Lonchura striata: one gene and its partner. The protein of the gene in region 1 purifies or fractionates together with the protein of each later gene. This does not show direct contact. Links are inferred from orthologs where the notes say so. Each region holds a gene or a part of one and is shown in the gene's direction. Other genes may lie near its edges.

Region 1 (7,060 bases):
CACCCAATCCAAGAGATGTACTCTCTTATTTCTGTTTTGGTTTATAACATGTGGAAATGGTTCTGGCCTCCTCAAGTGCACTTAGGAACAATGCACACATTTGCTTTCCTGAATTTTCGTCAGAGTAAAGAATAAATGGATTCACTTTCAGTTAACATCAACCTCCAAACATTTTTGGTTTCTTCTTGCATGCACAGTAAATCTCAGATTAGCTCCATTCAGAGCTTCAAAATAAGCTGTGACGATGGCCATCATTCAGGGTCATAACCTGACAAAATGAATGTGCCTAGTTGCAAACTGAAAGTGTTAAATACAATTTTAAAGGTACCAAGATGAATGGTTCAACGCTGCTAGATGGCAAGTGGTATTTCTGTAGGCTCTTACTAGAAATGTTTTCAAGTTCTGCTAGAAGTTGCATGAGAAAAAATAGTTTTAGAAGATTTTTAAAGAATTCTTTCCTTTTCAATTCAATTGACCTTGCTAAATGGAAATGAAGGAAATATGGAGGTTTTTTCTTTATCAAATTCACAAAACAATCTACCCTGCTGAAGAGCTGGCTTAGTATAGCAAGAAGACAATCTGCACTATTAATGCAATACTTTTTCTTCGTGAAATGCCAATAAAAAAGCATTGTGTGAGATACAGAAAACAAGAGTTAAATCTGCAGCAGGACAAAATATCCTGCAATTGACTCAGTCTTAGCAAGATATACTTTCTGCAGCCTTGCTGAATTCCCTTCTATTCCCTCCACCCTGTCCAGCTTCCATTACCCATCCAAAAAAAACAAGACTCCAGGAAGAACCCTGACATACATATCCACAGGCTTCAAGAACCACAAAAGTTTATACAAAAATAAATACCATGCTTATTATTATTGCAATAGTTTTCTACACAGTATCTTCTAAAGAGCATTCTTCTATTTTCTAAACAACTAGAATCAGGATTTCAGATCCTTATCAGTTTTTATGACATTGTCAAAGTGACTTTGCAGTTACCTAGAGCCAGAGAAAGTTTCATTTGCAGTTTCTTTTGAATGAATAGCTGTGAGTGCCATGAGACTAATTCTGTCCTTCTTTTCTTCTAGCTGAGTTCTCCTTACTCAACTGACTGAAGCGCACATACTAGAAAAATCAGTAATTGTGGGAACATTGGATGGGTTAAAGAAGTCATAATCCTGTCACCTCTGAAAGTCAGCTTTTCTGGAAACCATGATGTTATTCTTAGGCCTCTTTCTATTATCAATAACACATAAACAATGAATTTTCTCCCTAGGGAATACAAACAGCCTTTTGCAAGTCACATTTGGTGTTGTCATTGAAAAAAGACCAAATCCTTTCTGGCTTGGGAGTCATTTGACTTCAGTGGGGTCCCAGCAGAGATAACTTTTACTTGCTAATTTAACTAATTTCCATAGAATTGCTGTAAATACGAATGCATAAGAACAAAATGTTTTGCTTCTGAAGACAGTATATAAAGATAACTAAAGACATTAATGTGTTTGGAGAAATTAGGATCTATTATATTAAATACTTTCTGCTTATGCATAATCTTATACACCACTGATTTAGATACTATTTCAAAGTAAAGATTTTTGTTCCCTGACTTTGAATGTTCCAGAGGTATCTGGGGTTTGCTTTACTTCAAAGATGAATTGCCTTCAAGATAGATTTTTATCTGATACCACAGCAGAAGTTGTGGAAAGCAGGTAGGGAAGGCTGGGGAGAGAAGGGAGTTCCAGAAAGGAAGCAGATATAAAACTTGTGGTGTTAGAAATGCTGTCTCCATTTCTCCACTGGAAAAGAGAGTAAGTAAAACTTCCCCTCTCACAAAATAGTTGCAAAAGCAAATCTGTTTGGGCAGGAGATACTCCAGCAAAAATTGTTAGAAAGTCTACAAATAGAAGATCCTGATCTGACACAGTTTGGATGCTAATCAGTCAATGGCAACAGGGAAGCAGTTTTAAAAAACAGTTACTGAAGAGCTGCAGCATTTGCTGACCACCTGGAAATTTGTGCTCCGTGACAGGATATTACAGGCCCGTCACAGCCTCACTTAATAAGCAGGACAACTAGTTTCTGTAAAAATAGTAAATTGCCCTCTTTAAATACTCCGTTTTTTTCTTTCAGGTGTGTTTACTGCTCAGTTTGGGTTGTTTGGTTTTGTTGTTTTAGTTTTATTTCCCCCAGAGTTACCCCTAAAATCGCTGTTCATAGAATAACAAACTGGCAACTCCAAGGCCACTGTATTTCACAAATCCATGTACAATCAGGATGCAAGCCTTGCCTGAAGAACACATGAGTAATGCATGCAAAGTTCTTAAAACACAAAACTTGAACAATTGCACCTTGCTGCTTTCTCAAGCAGGTATAAATGAGACTTCTGTGATGAAAACTCCTTGAATCGGTAAGACATAGATTTACTTTCATTTCTTCTTTCATCCATGCTATTTACTTTAGTTGAGAGTGAGTGAGCGGAAACAAAGTAATGAGGTATTTTTGTGATGCACAGAAGTAGATTTCAAAGAAACAAACGCATCTCTGTTCATTACACTGAGTGATTCAAAGCAAGCTGCACGTAAGTTCAGTAAGCATCACGTATAAAATAAAACACAAGAGCAATTCTGTATATAGCTTGGTAGTATCTGTAACTTATATAACCAGCATGAACAAAATCAGATTTTGGCTTCAAGTTGCATCCGGACCTCTGCGGATTTTTTTTCAAGGCACAGCAAAAACAGTCTTGCTGCCTTTTGGTTGACCTTAAACTGAGCTACAGACAGTAACACATAATTCTAAAGCAGGAAACATGACCTCCCCTAACATCAGCTGTTGCGTGCCTTTTCATTCTAACCTCTTCCCATAATCTTAATACAAACAAAACGGGGGATACCTTTTAGTTTTGACCATCTGAAGTTCATGAGAAGCACTGTAAGACAAGATCAGACATGGCGTGCAAACCAGTCTCCTTTTTCTTTCTTTCCTGTTCTCTATGCAAGGCAACCCTCCAAAACTCTCAAGTATTAACTTCAGCCCAACATAACTGGTGTTTCTGAACAGCATCATGGATCAGATTTTGGCATGACAGCTCCTGCTATTGCTTCAGATCAGATTGCTGCATAGGGTCAACTTAACATTTTGTTGAAAAGATCCGCCTTGAGATCATTTCACTGCTTTAAAGGAACACTGGAATAATTTATCTGTAGGATGAATACATACAGACCAAGCCTCCTTCCTTTTAAAAAAGTGAGAATTTTGTCCTTATGCCATGATGAGTAAGAATACAGCTCTCCAGTGAAACGATGGTGTGGAGGAAAATCACAAAAAAGGGATGCCTAGATACTACCACCAAAAAAAAAAAATTTGCTTTTAAGTAGTTCTACTAACTGTCCTTTTGCTGTGTTTTGCGGCAACAAAGTAAAAATGTAATTGTTTTAGGCTTTGTCTTGGTGTGACGCTGTAATGATCCTAATTAAAAAACATGAAACCTGTCAGTTACTTTCTTCCATTGCTTTTATTCATAGCCATTTTTATAGATCTACTGCTGCCTAGTATTTCACACCACGAAGCTTACCAAACAGATCTACTATTTTTGTCATGAAGTAATAACACCTGGCTCCTCCATCTGAGGAGGGAAGGGGCACAGACTACCCTGGAGAGCTGCAGCAAAGCCTGGCCTTCAGCATCCGCTCTTTGCCGGCTTCCAACACCAGAAAAAACCCAAAAAGGCTACGCTGGACCAACAGACAACGACATGAATGGACACTATTCCTGCGAGCAGGGCTTGGGGTGGGATGGGAACAGCGCTCAGCCTCCTGCAGTTTGTCGGCGCTGGGGCGGGCAGGGCGGGAGGGAAGCGGCGGCTCCCTGAGGGCAGCTGGGGCGGGCGGGAAGCGGCGGCTCCGTGAGGGCAGCTGGGGCGGGCAGGAAGCGGCGGCTCTGTGAGGGCAGCAGCAGCAGCAGCAGCCGCCCCGCCCCGCCGCCCTCAGGGCCCCGCACTAGTTTCGCTTTCGCCTTCGCCGCCTTTCCCAGAAGTCACGTGACGTGCCCGCCGCCCGGGAACGCCCCCGGCCCGCCCCCGCGCATGCGCGCGCGGCTCCCTGAGCGCAGCCGGCGCCGCGGCAGCGCCGAGCCGGAGCCGAGGTGAGGGGAGCGGGCGTGAGGGACCCGGGCGTGAGGGGCCGGGGGATGGCGGGGGGAATGCCCGGTGAAACGAAAGCTTGTCGCTTCCTCAGACTGCCCCTGCCCGCGGGACGCCCACCGAGTTTTGCGCTTTGGTGTACTTGCCCTGGGGAAAGAGAGGTGTCTGCTAGCCGTCTTCATTCCTGACAGGGACGCTCCGGCTGCTCTGTCGTCTGTCGCATCCGCTCTCAAGCCTGGCTCTTTGCTCGCTCTCCGCAGCTCACCCTCTCCGACGCGTCTGCAGAGCTGCCCGGAGCGCTGGAAGCGGGCCCGTGTGCCCAGCACGGCGCTGATCCCGCTGATCCCGGTGATCCCGCTCCTCCGGCGCCGCGGGGCAGCCGCCGCGGAACAGGTGCGCTGCTCCCTCCCGGGGAACGCGGGCACCGGGCCGGCCCCCGGCCATGGCAGGCGAGGAGGTAGAGGAGGGCCAGGAGGGAGTCCTGGGCTGCATCGGGCGGCCAGCAGGTCGAGAGGGGTGATCAGCCGCCTCTGCTCTGCCCTAGTGAGGCACATCTGGAGTGCTGTGCCCAGGTCTGGGCTCCTCGGTACAAAAAACACGAGGAGCGACTGGAGAGGGTCCAGCAGAGGTCACACAGATGATGAGGGATGTGGAGCACTCTCTTACAAGGGGAGCTGGAGCTGGAACAGTTTAGTCTGGAGTAGAGAGACTGAGAGGGGATCTCATCATTACATATAAATAACTCAAAGGCAGGTGCCAAGAAGATGGTGACAAACTCTTTTCATTGGTGCCCACTGACAGGATGAGGAGCAGTGGACATGAACACAAGTTCCACCACGACATGAGGAAGAACTTTACACTGAGGGTGGCAGAGCACTGGAGCAGGTTGCCCAGGGAGGTCATGGACCTCCCTCTTTGGGACTGCTATAGCACACTCAAATGCTGTGTTAGCTGTAATCTGAAAAGCACACAAATCAAAAGCCTCAAAGCCCTCACTTTAAACATAGCATTTTTAATTCCTTTGCTTCTCACACCTAGCACATGCCACTCAGCAGCTGAGGGCACTGGCATATAAAAACAAAAGGATTTGGTAGGAAGGGGCATAGAAGACAGTCCTTCATCCTGATGCTGCCTGTTCTTTTGGATGGGTCTTATAAGCAGTCATTAAAAAACAAAGATGTGAGTGGATTTGCATCTCATCACCCATATTCTCAGCCTGGGCTGTTCCTTGGCATATCTTTACATGCCATTTCCACTACAAGCTGATAACCTGCAGCTTAGAAGGCTAAGTGATCTGCCTCTAGAGACCATACGTCAGAGCTGAAGCCACTCTCACAAAAGTGTTAGGACTGAGAGAAGCCGTTCTGCACAGTCTTAGTTCATTTAAGCACCCTCTATCTGCTGCACAGGTTGCTTGAATTTAGCCTGAAAATATTATCATGAGAACTCAAATGCCGAAAAAAATATCTTTCCAGTACTTCTCCATTTAAGGTAACTTGAGATGTAGTCCATTTTCAGAGCAGGCAAGTGTGGACACGAATAGCAACTGAAAATGGGCACTTAGAGGGCTCTTTAATTGTACACTCACACTTTTGGTGCTGGGGAATGCATCTGCACAAGCAAAAGGTGATACTCCGTGATCAGGATCTCAATTATGCAGAGTACAGGTATCAAACACAGAGGTCCTCATTCCCATATGTGCTAAACAAGAGAGCAGTAACACTAGCAGTACCATAAACGCCATGAAAATGGGTTCAGAGGAAAAGGAAAAAAAAGGAAGCACCACACAGCTACTCACTTCCCCTCCTCCCTGCATGGTGGGATGGGGAGAGAATCAGAAAGGTGAGGCACTTCATGGGCTGAGATAAAGATAGTTTAACAGGTAAAGGCAAAAGCCATGTACACAGGAAAGCCAAAGGGAGGAGTTCAGCCATCTCAGGAAAGCCAGGCTCCATCATGCCTAACAGTGGCTTGGGGAGACAAGCACCATCATGTAACATATCCCCTGTGCCTCCTTCTCCTTCCCCCAGCTCTATGAGCTCGATGCCACCTGGTCTGGAATGTCCCTTGGGTCAGCTGGGGTCAGCTGTCCAGCTGTGTCCCCTCCCAGCTCCTTGTGCACCCCCAGCCTCCTCACAGGTGGGGTGGGGTGAGGAGCAGAAAGGGCCTTGATGCTGTGTAAGCCCTGCTCAGCTGTAACAAAAACATCCCTGTCTTACCAGCACTGCTTCCTGCACAAATCCAAAACAGCCCCATGCTACCTACTGTGAACAAGATAAACTTTATCCCAGCCAAAATCAGCACATCCTCCAATTTTGTCAATGTTCATTAAAACTTAAAATTAGTTATTTTTCACCAGTTCAGTCTGAATACTACTTAAACACTGACTTTTTTTTCACAGCTTCCTCAGAATGTCTCAGTGGTATCAACTACAGCAGCTGGATTCCAAGTTTTTGGAGCAAGTTCACCAGCTGTATGATGACAGCTTTCCTATGGAGATCAGGCAGTACCTGGCACAGTGGCTGGAAAACCAGGATTGGTAAGCCAAGGAATTAAATTAGGCTTTGGGTTGTGTGATAAGCAGTGCCCTCAGAAGTGCAGTTTCAGGCAGCAGCAGTATGCTGGGGAAGCAAGCTGCTAGGTGATCCTTTGCTGGTAGGATGCTTCAGTAGCTGTGTGGGTGCTCTGTGTTCCTGCTCCTTTTAGGACTTTCTAGAGGGGCCTGACACCTGGAGTTAGTGTCCTTGCTCATAATGCTCTCAGTGGTCCAGAACAAAAGTGGCTGTTTTAAGACCAATTAGTTACTAACCTTGGTAGCATCAGTCTCTCACTCCCCAAAGACTCCGAACTTCTGCCAGGCTTTCTGTGGAGTGTCTTCTCTTTGAGGAGTGGTACAACATGCATATGCATCAGGGTCACTTTG
Region 2 (7,678 bases), on another chromosome or scaffold:
AATGTTTGTCACATCCCACTGAGGGCAGAGCCCCACACGCTGCCCTGCAGGACAGAGCTGGGCAGGGCAGCAGAACATGTGAGAGATCAACAGAATAAACAACCTGGAAACCAGCACAGACCAATTATGGCTTCTGCTTTGGCAGCGGGGCTGACAGACAGAGACTTTTACAATCTCAGAATGATCAATACCTCAGATTCTGACATTCCTCGTCTGGGCCCAGCTTGTACAAATTATTGTCTGATTTGGGCTGATATTGCTCTTGGATGCAGATTTTGGGGAGATGTTTGTGCCAGCCCGCTACACACCAACTTCCTGCTCAGCACATGTGTTGTTATAAAGTTAAAAAATGTATTTTTTTAAATCAGATATTGGCTACTCCATTGTCTCCTCCTTTAGCCAAGTAGTTTTCACTAAAATATTTCTCTTTCTGTCCCTCAGAAAAGGGTGTTTCACACATTTCATGCCTGCAACAGCCTCAGCAGTAAAGGTATTTTAGTGGCTTGGTCGTGTTTTCTATCAAGAAATAATAGCTGAGAGTCTATCATTAAATCAGTTTTATTCAGGCTCAGAAATGCCCTTGTGTTACTTTTAGGCAAAGAGCAAATTTGGATTATTAGACAAAGAGGAGAAACTCTTGGCTACTCGGACTAATGAAAACAACATGTTCACAGAAAAAAATGCATATCTTTAAAAATATTATTGTGTCTGAACATGGCTTTGAGCATGTGAGTTATGTGACACGATACGTTTTTGGGGAAGTTACAGAAGAGGAGAATAAAAGAAATGGGGGGGTAAGAGACAAATTCTCAAGTCATTTATTTTACTGCGATGCGGCCAAAAGGGGGAAACACAACTTTGGAAAATTGGGAATTGAAAATATCAAAATTGTGGAGGTTTGAGGGAAATCTTGATCTTTCATTTTCTCTCTCCGCAGAGGTCAAAGCTCAAAAAAATATTAGCTTTAGCTCAGAAGCAAGACAACCTGAGGATTGTTTGGGGCTGTTCTCCCTTACTCCAGCTGCATCCCAGTATTTTCTTTTGGAAATGGAGAGAAAAATTGAAGATTTAATTTTAATTTAATTTTTAAGATCTGAGTGCTGCCATGACTGCCACAGCTGGAGCCACTGCGAGCACCTCTGGAAATGACTGAGTGTTGACAAAGGCTTTTTTTGGCAATAAACCATCAGCCGAGCCTCGGGAGCAGAGAGGAACAAAATTTCACTACATGTAAATAATGGCCTAAAAATAGAAGCGCAGATTGTTTTTCTCATTAAGTTCCTTCTCCATCCTCCAGTATATTCTGCACTGAAAAGGGAGTGACTATCAAAAAGCCCAAACTGAAAAAAAAAAAATGAAGAGCCTGGGCGAGGTTTGGCTGTAAAAAACACCGGCAGGAGCATTTTAAACCCGATTTTCTGTATCCCCTTTTTTAGTTCGCTTCCTTATTTTAATGCAGCCGAAGCCATTCTGGGGCTGTTTTATTTGAAGGCAGTTTTGAGAGAGGACGCTGTGGTTTATGGCCACGTGTCAAGTTTGATAGTGTTGTGCCATGATTTAGCAAAACACTCGGAGCACACGTCCACATCCCACTGAATTTGGTAGGAAGTGGAGAAGCAGAGGAAAAGCTGTTTGGCTGTGCAGCAGCCTCATTCAGGGGGGGAAAAAAATCAAAAGTAATTGAAATAAAGCAAGGATTTTTCTCCACACAATTACAGAGCTTTAAGGCCGAATTCTTTCAGCTCGCCATGAACTCATTGATCATGTTAGATGACGATTATGACACGTATTTAATAATTTCAAATTAAGGGTTCTGCACTGGGCTGCCTCAGACCACTGAAATAGATGGGCTAATTCTGGGAGCTGTGGGCGTGCTGGAGTCATCTGATTTTATTTTTTTTTAGCTGTCTCACCCTGCCCCCTCCCCAAACCAGCCTTTCAGACGCGGAGAGAAATCTTCATTGCACGCAGGATTGTCCGGGTGTGCTCATCAGCCTCCTCTAATTGCTGCTCGTTTCCTGAGTGTGGCAGGATCCAGGAGAGCGGGGCCACCGATGGAGTTGGGATGAGGCATGAAGAAAGAGGGGTGTCAGCTCCCCCGATTTTCTGCCAGTCTGGAGGATGTTTCTGGGTGAAACGCTTGGAAATGGAAAGTTTGGAAAGAGATATGAGTTGTTTGCTTTGCTGGGCGTATCAGGACTTTATATATGCTCACCATAAACATGATGCCATCAAAAATCACGTATCATTTATATATACGTTCATATATTTATTTTTATATATGTTCATCTATTTATGTATGCTCATATAATTTATATGTGTTCTCTTTCTAGGTTAAGTATACGTGACCTGTCCACCTTGGTCAAAATCCATACAGTTTTGTCATGGATTGATGGAATGTGACACATCCTGATACCATTCCATTCTCATCCCTGCTTTACTAGGAGTTGTTTTCCTCAGGACTGCACATAAATATTCTTACCAATAAACAGCATTGCATCAAAAAGCTCCTTAAACACTTTTGACACCTCTCTCCCATTCTTCCCTCAACACAAACCACTTAATTTTAAATCCTGGGTAACCCTCTGAGGCAAATGTTATAAATTTTGATTCTGTAATTACCCCAGGTTCCCTGCACTCCTTGCTTGAATCTGCAGAGTTGGGACATGAAATCTTTATTTTATTTTCAGTGCCCATCCTCTAAGTGCTTTGGGAATGGAGGATGATGGATTTTACGGCAGCTATGGAAAAAGTGGAAATTTTGTTCTTTGTTCCGTTCTGTGCATTAAGGTGAAGGCCAAGGAGAGAAATTGTCATGGTGATCAATATTTGGGGAATAACACCCAGGTAGAAAGAAGCTGAATCAAGCTATAATGACCTGAACACTAACGTTTAATCCTCCCAAATTCACAACTGATGCATCATCTTGCCAGGCAGGATTTTGGTAGGTATTTTCCCCTCTGGCTTGCTGTTGGAAGAACACAAATTTCACTCAAAACTGACATGAAATGGGTGCATTTGGACCTCAAATCTGTTGTTACTTTAAATTCCCTGAAATAAAACTTGTAATTTCCTGAAAAACTGATAATTTCCAGCTTGGTGCACACCAGGAGCTGGTGTCCACTGAGGTACCCCGGCCTCATCCCTTTCCACTCCTAGAGGTCTCAAACCTGTGCATTAAGTAGCAAAAATCTGTGAAAAATGTGTATTTTATGATTGGCTTCTCGCAAATGTTACAATGAATATTATATGTGTAACATTAGGAAGTTCTGCTGTATTAATTCTCTTAAGTGGCGTGTTAAATACAGTTTTAGGTTACAACACAATGTTAAAATAGAAACTCTGTGATACAGGATTTGTTACAAGCTCAAGCAGGAGGATGAGATAATCGAGAAACTCTTCACACAGAGATGGCAGCGAAGGGGGCCCATACAAAGTTCCTCCTTCTCAGAAAAAAACAAACATTCTTCCACCTTAAGGAGAAAAGTTCTTAATTTGCAAAGAATTTATGCATCATGTATGAGATACATGAATATGCAACAGGCTGTTGCTTTTATGGTTATTCCTTTGTTCACAAAGTCTGCTTTTTTGTGACTTAGTGTCCGAGAGCATCCAGACATCCGTAATTCTTTGCTTTTTATTGTCTTGCATTTGTCCTAACTCTAAATTTTATTACTCTAATAATTTTTTTTTAATAATAATTTTATTATTACTGAAGTTCTAAAAGATTTTAAAAACCAAGTGATTGGCGTTTTTCGCACTCTAATTATATTACTATTTTAATAATGATTTTATTATTACTATACTTAAAAAAAAATTTAAAAACCAAGCGATTGGCGTTTTTTCACACTCTAATCACATTACTATTTTAATAATAATTTTATTATTATTAAACTTCAAAAAATCTTTAAAACCAAGCAGTTTTCACACTTTAATTATATTACTATGTTAATAATCATTTTATTATTACTAAACATAAAAATTCAAAAAACCAGGTGATTGGCGTTTTTTCACACTCTAATCACATTACTATTTTAATAATAATTTTATTATTATTAAACTTCTAAAAAATCTTAAAAACCAAGCGTTTTTCACACTTTAATTATATTACTATTTTAATAATCATTTTATTATTACTAAACTAAAAAATTAAAAAAAACAGGTGATTGGCGTTTTTTCACACTCTAATCACATTACTATTTTAATAATAATTTTATTATTATTAAACTTCTAAAAAATCTTAAAAACCAAGCGTTTTTCACACTTTAATTATATTACTATTTTAATAATAATTTTATTATGACCAAACTTCTAAAACTGTTAAAAACGCGGTGATCGGCGTTGTTTCACGCACCGCAGCTGCACGGTCCCGTGTTAATAACCGCATTTACCACCGGAGGAAGGCGCTGCCTGTGGCGCCGCGGGGCTGAGGGGAGCAGCCGGGGCGCCCGCAGGGACGCGCTCCCCTCACGGAGCGCCGCCACCAGCGCCAAACTCGACGGGCAGGGCGAAGCTCTACGGGCAGGGCGAAGCTCTACGGGCAGGGCGAAGCTGACGGGCAGGGCGAGGCTCCAGCCCCGCGGGGCGGCCCCGGGAGCCGCGGCGAAGCGGCAGCCCCGGCGTGAGGGCGCGGAGCGGCGCGGCCGGAGGAGGCACAAAATGGCGCCGCGATTCAAACGCTGCGCGCTGCGGGCGGGCGGGGCGGCGGCGGCGGGGCGGCGGCGTCCCGGCGGGGTTCACTGCGCCTGCGCGCGGAGTCGCAAGATGGCGGACAGTGCGGAACTAAAGGTAAAGCGCAGCTCTCCGCGTCCCCCCGCGGCGCCGCCGGGGCCGCGGCCGGCGGCGGCCCGCGGCGGGATGAGCCGCGCCGGAGCGGCCGCGGCGGGGCCGCGCTGGCAGCGCGGGTTGAGAGGCGGGGTGGGTGCGGAGCGCAGCGCGGAGCTGCCTCCTCTCGCCGCACCCCCCCACACACACACTCCGCCGGCCGCGCTCCGCCGGGCGGCCCCGCCGGCAGCCGGGGCAGCGCGGGCGGCTCCGCTCCGCGGCCGCCGGGCCGGGCGGCGCCGCCGCGGGTGAGGGCGGCGGCCGCGGGGAGCCCCCCGCGGGGTGTGGGGGCCGGCGGGGGGGACGGCGCCGCGGCGCCCCGCGAAGTTTGCGAGGGGAGTCCGGCGGGAGCGGCAGCGGCGGTGACAGCGGCGGCGGCGCGGCCCGCCGGTAAATAAAGAACGTCACAGGCAGATGTGGAGGAGTTCCGCGGCGCTGAGCTGGCGGCGGTCCCTGTCATGCTGCGGAACGCGGGGGGACGGGGCGCTCCGAGCCGCCCGGCCGGCGGCCGCTCCGCCCGGGGCGGTTTCGGGGGGGATTTGGGGGGATTTTTCGGGCGCTCAGCCCGGAGGGAAGGAGCTCCTCCCGCTCTGCCCGACGCGGAACTTGGGCTTTCCTAAAGCGATTTTGAGGAAGAGCGGTGGCAGGGTAGAGGGTGGTAGGCACCCACCCGAAAATCCCAGGGAAAGACCCCCCCGAAACTTTGTGCCCCGCACACCCTGCAGGGTGTGAAAAGTTGCGGAGTTTCCTCGCACTTTTCACAGGCTCCTTATTCACCGGGAGGGCTCCTGCCTCCTCCTCCTCCTCCTGTAAAGTTCGCGGAGTGAAGGGCTGGAATCAGGTGGGTCTGAAATGGGTACGGGCACAGGCGTGTTAAACGTGTAACATAAACTACGGAATGGCTCGGGTATGACTAAGGAAATATTTGGTCTTTTCCTAGAGGTTTGGTAGATCTCGGTTTTCTGACTATCAAAGGTACCGTGCGCTTTCGTTTTTAGATGCTTAAGGAGCTGTCAGCGGGTTAAGAAATATTAAATCTTCGGTGTGTTCTGACTTGTGTGGGTCAGGACCCTTCAGATCCTCCTTTAAATCCTCCTCTGGCCTTCGTTTTTCTGCGTGTCTTCAGACCACATTGTATTGCTTGAGCTGTGTAGTCCTTAAGCCTTTTTTCTTTTCAAGCTCTGCTTCCCACATAACGAGATCAGAGGGTTAAGATGTGATTCCAGTGCTCAAGTTTTTGTCAATTTTAGCGTGGCAAATGGAATAGTGTGTTTTGGTAAGTAGCAGCGAGAGTTTGGTGGTGCACAGCAGCCAGCTTGGCTTTACGTGATGCCTTTATTAGCAAGAGTGACTCAAAGGGAGTTCAAAGAGATGGGAGATAGGGAATAAAGTCATTCCAAACCCCTTCATTGATCACTGTTAGAAGTCTCCTTCTCGAGAACCGGTAGAGAAAAATCAGAGTTTTTAAAATTTATGTTTCGTAAAGTGCTGTTGCTGCCTCAGGGATGTGGAGGGTGAATGCCAAAGTTGCTGTTTTATTCTCAGTTTCAGTTTTCTGCTCAGGTTGCGGCTGGAGTGGTACTTGCAGGCAGGGACTGGAGGATGGCAGTGAAAAGTTGGGCATTTTTTTTTTCTGCAGCCACGGGAGCTTGGCAGTTTGCTTAACAAAAAAGTAATTACTTCATAAATTCATGCTTGGAAGACCTCAGGACATTCTGATTTTTTTTTGTTTGTTTTTTTTTTGTCTTTAGACTGTACAGAATTAAAAAGCTGCGTGGGTGGGAGCCGCTCCGTCAGGAAGGAGAGGGGACACAGAATCTCCTGCTTGGGCTGGGAGCTGTCACCCTGCAGCTCTCCAGGCTCTCAGGTGCTGCAGGAGCTCCTCAGAAAAATGTGGAAAGCTCTGACATCGTGGCTGGGGACACTGGGGATTTTTTAAAAAGGAGTAAATCCCCAGAAAACGTGCTTTTAAGTTCTTTTTTTTGGGAGTTGAAAGTAGCTAAGGGACGGTTTGTGATTAAGACTCTGCTCTTTGAAGAATGACCAGTGAATTCCTTTAATTATTTTCTTAGGTAAAACCTTGCACGGTTCTCCTCTGATTAATTAGCAAATGGGATTGATTTCAGATTTAGTGACTTTAAAAAACTAAAATCAACTGTAATACTTGGGCAGGGACTCTTTTGCCTGGCCAGAAAAAGTTTGTTAGAAAAACTTACTCAAGTTTCTAAAACTTTGTTGCCTTCCTGTGCAGAGAACCCTGGGGCTATGTATGGGGAAATTAGGGAATGTGACATGTGGAAATTAGGGAATGTGATATGATGGGTGCTATCGCCAAAGGAAAATTAAAGTTGTTGCTCCCTCAGAAAAACAGTGGTCAGTCTTACTTGCCACAATTTTTCATGGCGTTTTAATCATGAAATTGCCTTTCCTCTAATTTATTTCCTTACCACAAGCGAGGGCCTTTCAGCCTTTTTTGCCCCCATTTTTGTTTGTTCTGTGGAGGGGAAAAAAAAAAAAATCAGATAAGGTGAAACCTGGCTTTGCAGATCCCGGCCTGGTGAGGTTCCTGAATTCCTGGGACTGGGAAGGTTGGGGTAAATTGAAGCAGGATGTTTTCCTTTCTGCTGCTGAAACAAGGTAACTGCAAAGTTTGTTCTGCTGCAGAGTTCTCCCTCACTCCATAGGCTGAGGCGTATGTGAATTTTCCTGATCTTAATTACTATTCCTGTCTAATTGCACCCAGACTCTAATTTATCTCAAGGTAAGCTATTTAAAGCTCTTTCTAATTGGAAGGAGTATACTTGAGTGATTAAATCTTTCCTTCAATATTTCTTACATCTCTTTAAATTGGTTA

The links. The genes of interacting proteins can lie anywhere in the genome.
Region 2: the proteins of STAT1 (region 1) and PIAS1 purify together in Homo sapiens (affinity purification with western blotting; 5 studies listed by BioGRID). This does not show direct contact. The link is inferred for Lonchura striata from reciprocal best matches to the Homo sapiens genes STAT1 and PIAS1.

The regions. Positions count from the first base shown.
Region 1 is NC_134610.1:30,435,621-30,442,680, forward strand, and holds the start of STAT1 (signal transducer and activator of transcription 1-alpha/beta), read left to right. Parts: upstream 1-4,056; 5' UTR 4,057-4,139; intron 4,140-4,328; 5' UTR 4,329-4,530; intron 4,531-6,538; 5' UTR 6,539-6,548; coding exon 6,549-6,676; intron 6,677-7,060. Other genes in the region: STAT4 (signal transducer and activator of transcription 4), read left to right, coding at 1,085-1,111. UniProt on the Homo sapiens protein: Signal transducer and transcription activator that mediates cellular responses to interferons (IFNs), cytokine KITLG/SCF and other cytokines and other growth factors.
Region 2 is NC_134613.1:23,417,057-23,424,734, forward strand, and holds the start of PIAS1 (E3 SUMO-protein ligase PIAS1), read left to right. Parts: upstream 1-4,659; coding exon 4,660-4,788; intron 4,789-7,678. UniProt on the Homo sapiens protein: Functions as an E3-type small ubiquitin-like modifier (SUMO) ligase, stabilizing the interaction between UBE2I and the substrate, and as a SUMO-tethering factor. Catalyzes sumoylation of various proteins, such as CEBPB, MRE11, MTA1, PTK2 and PML.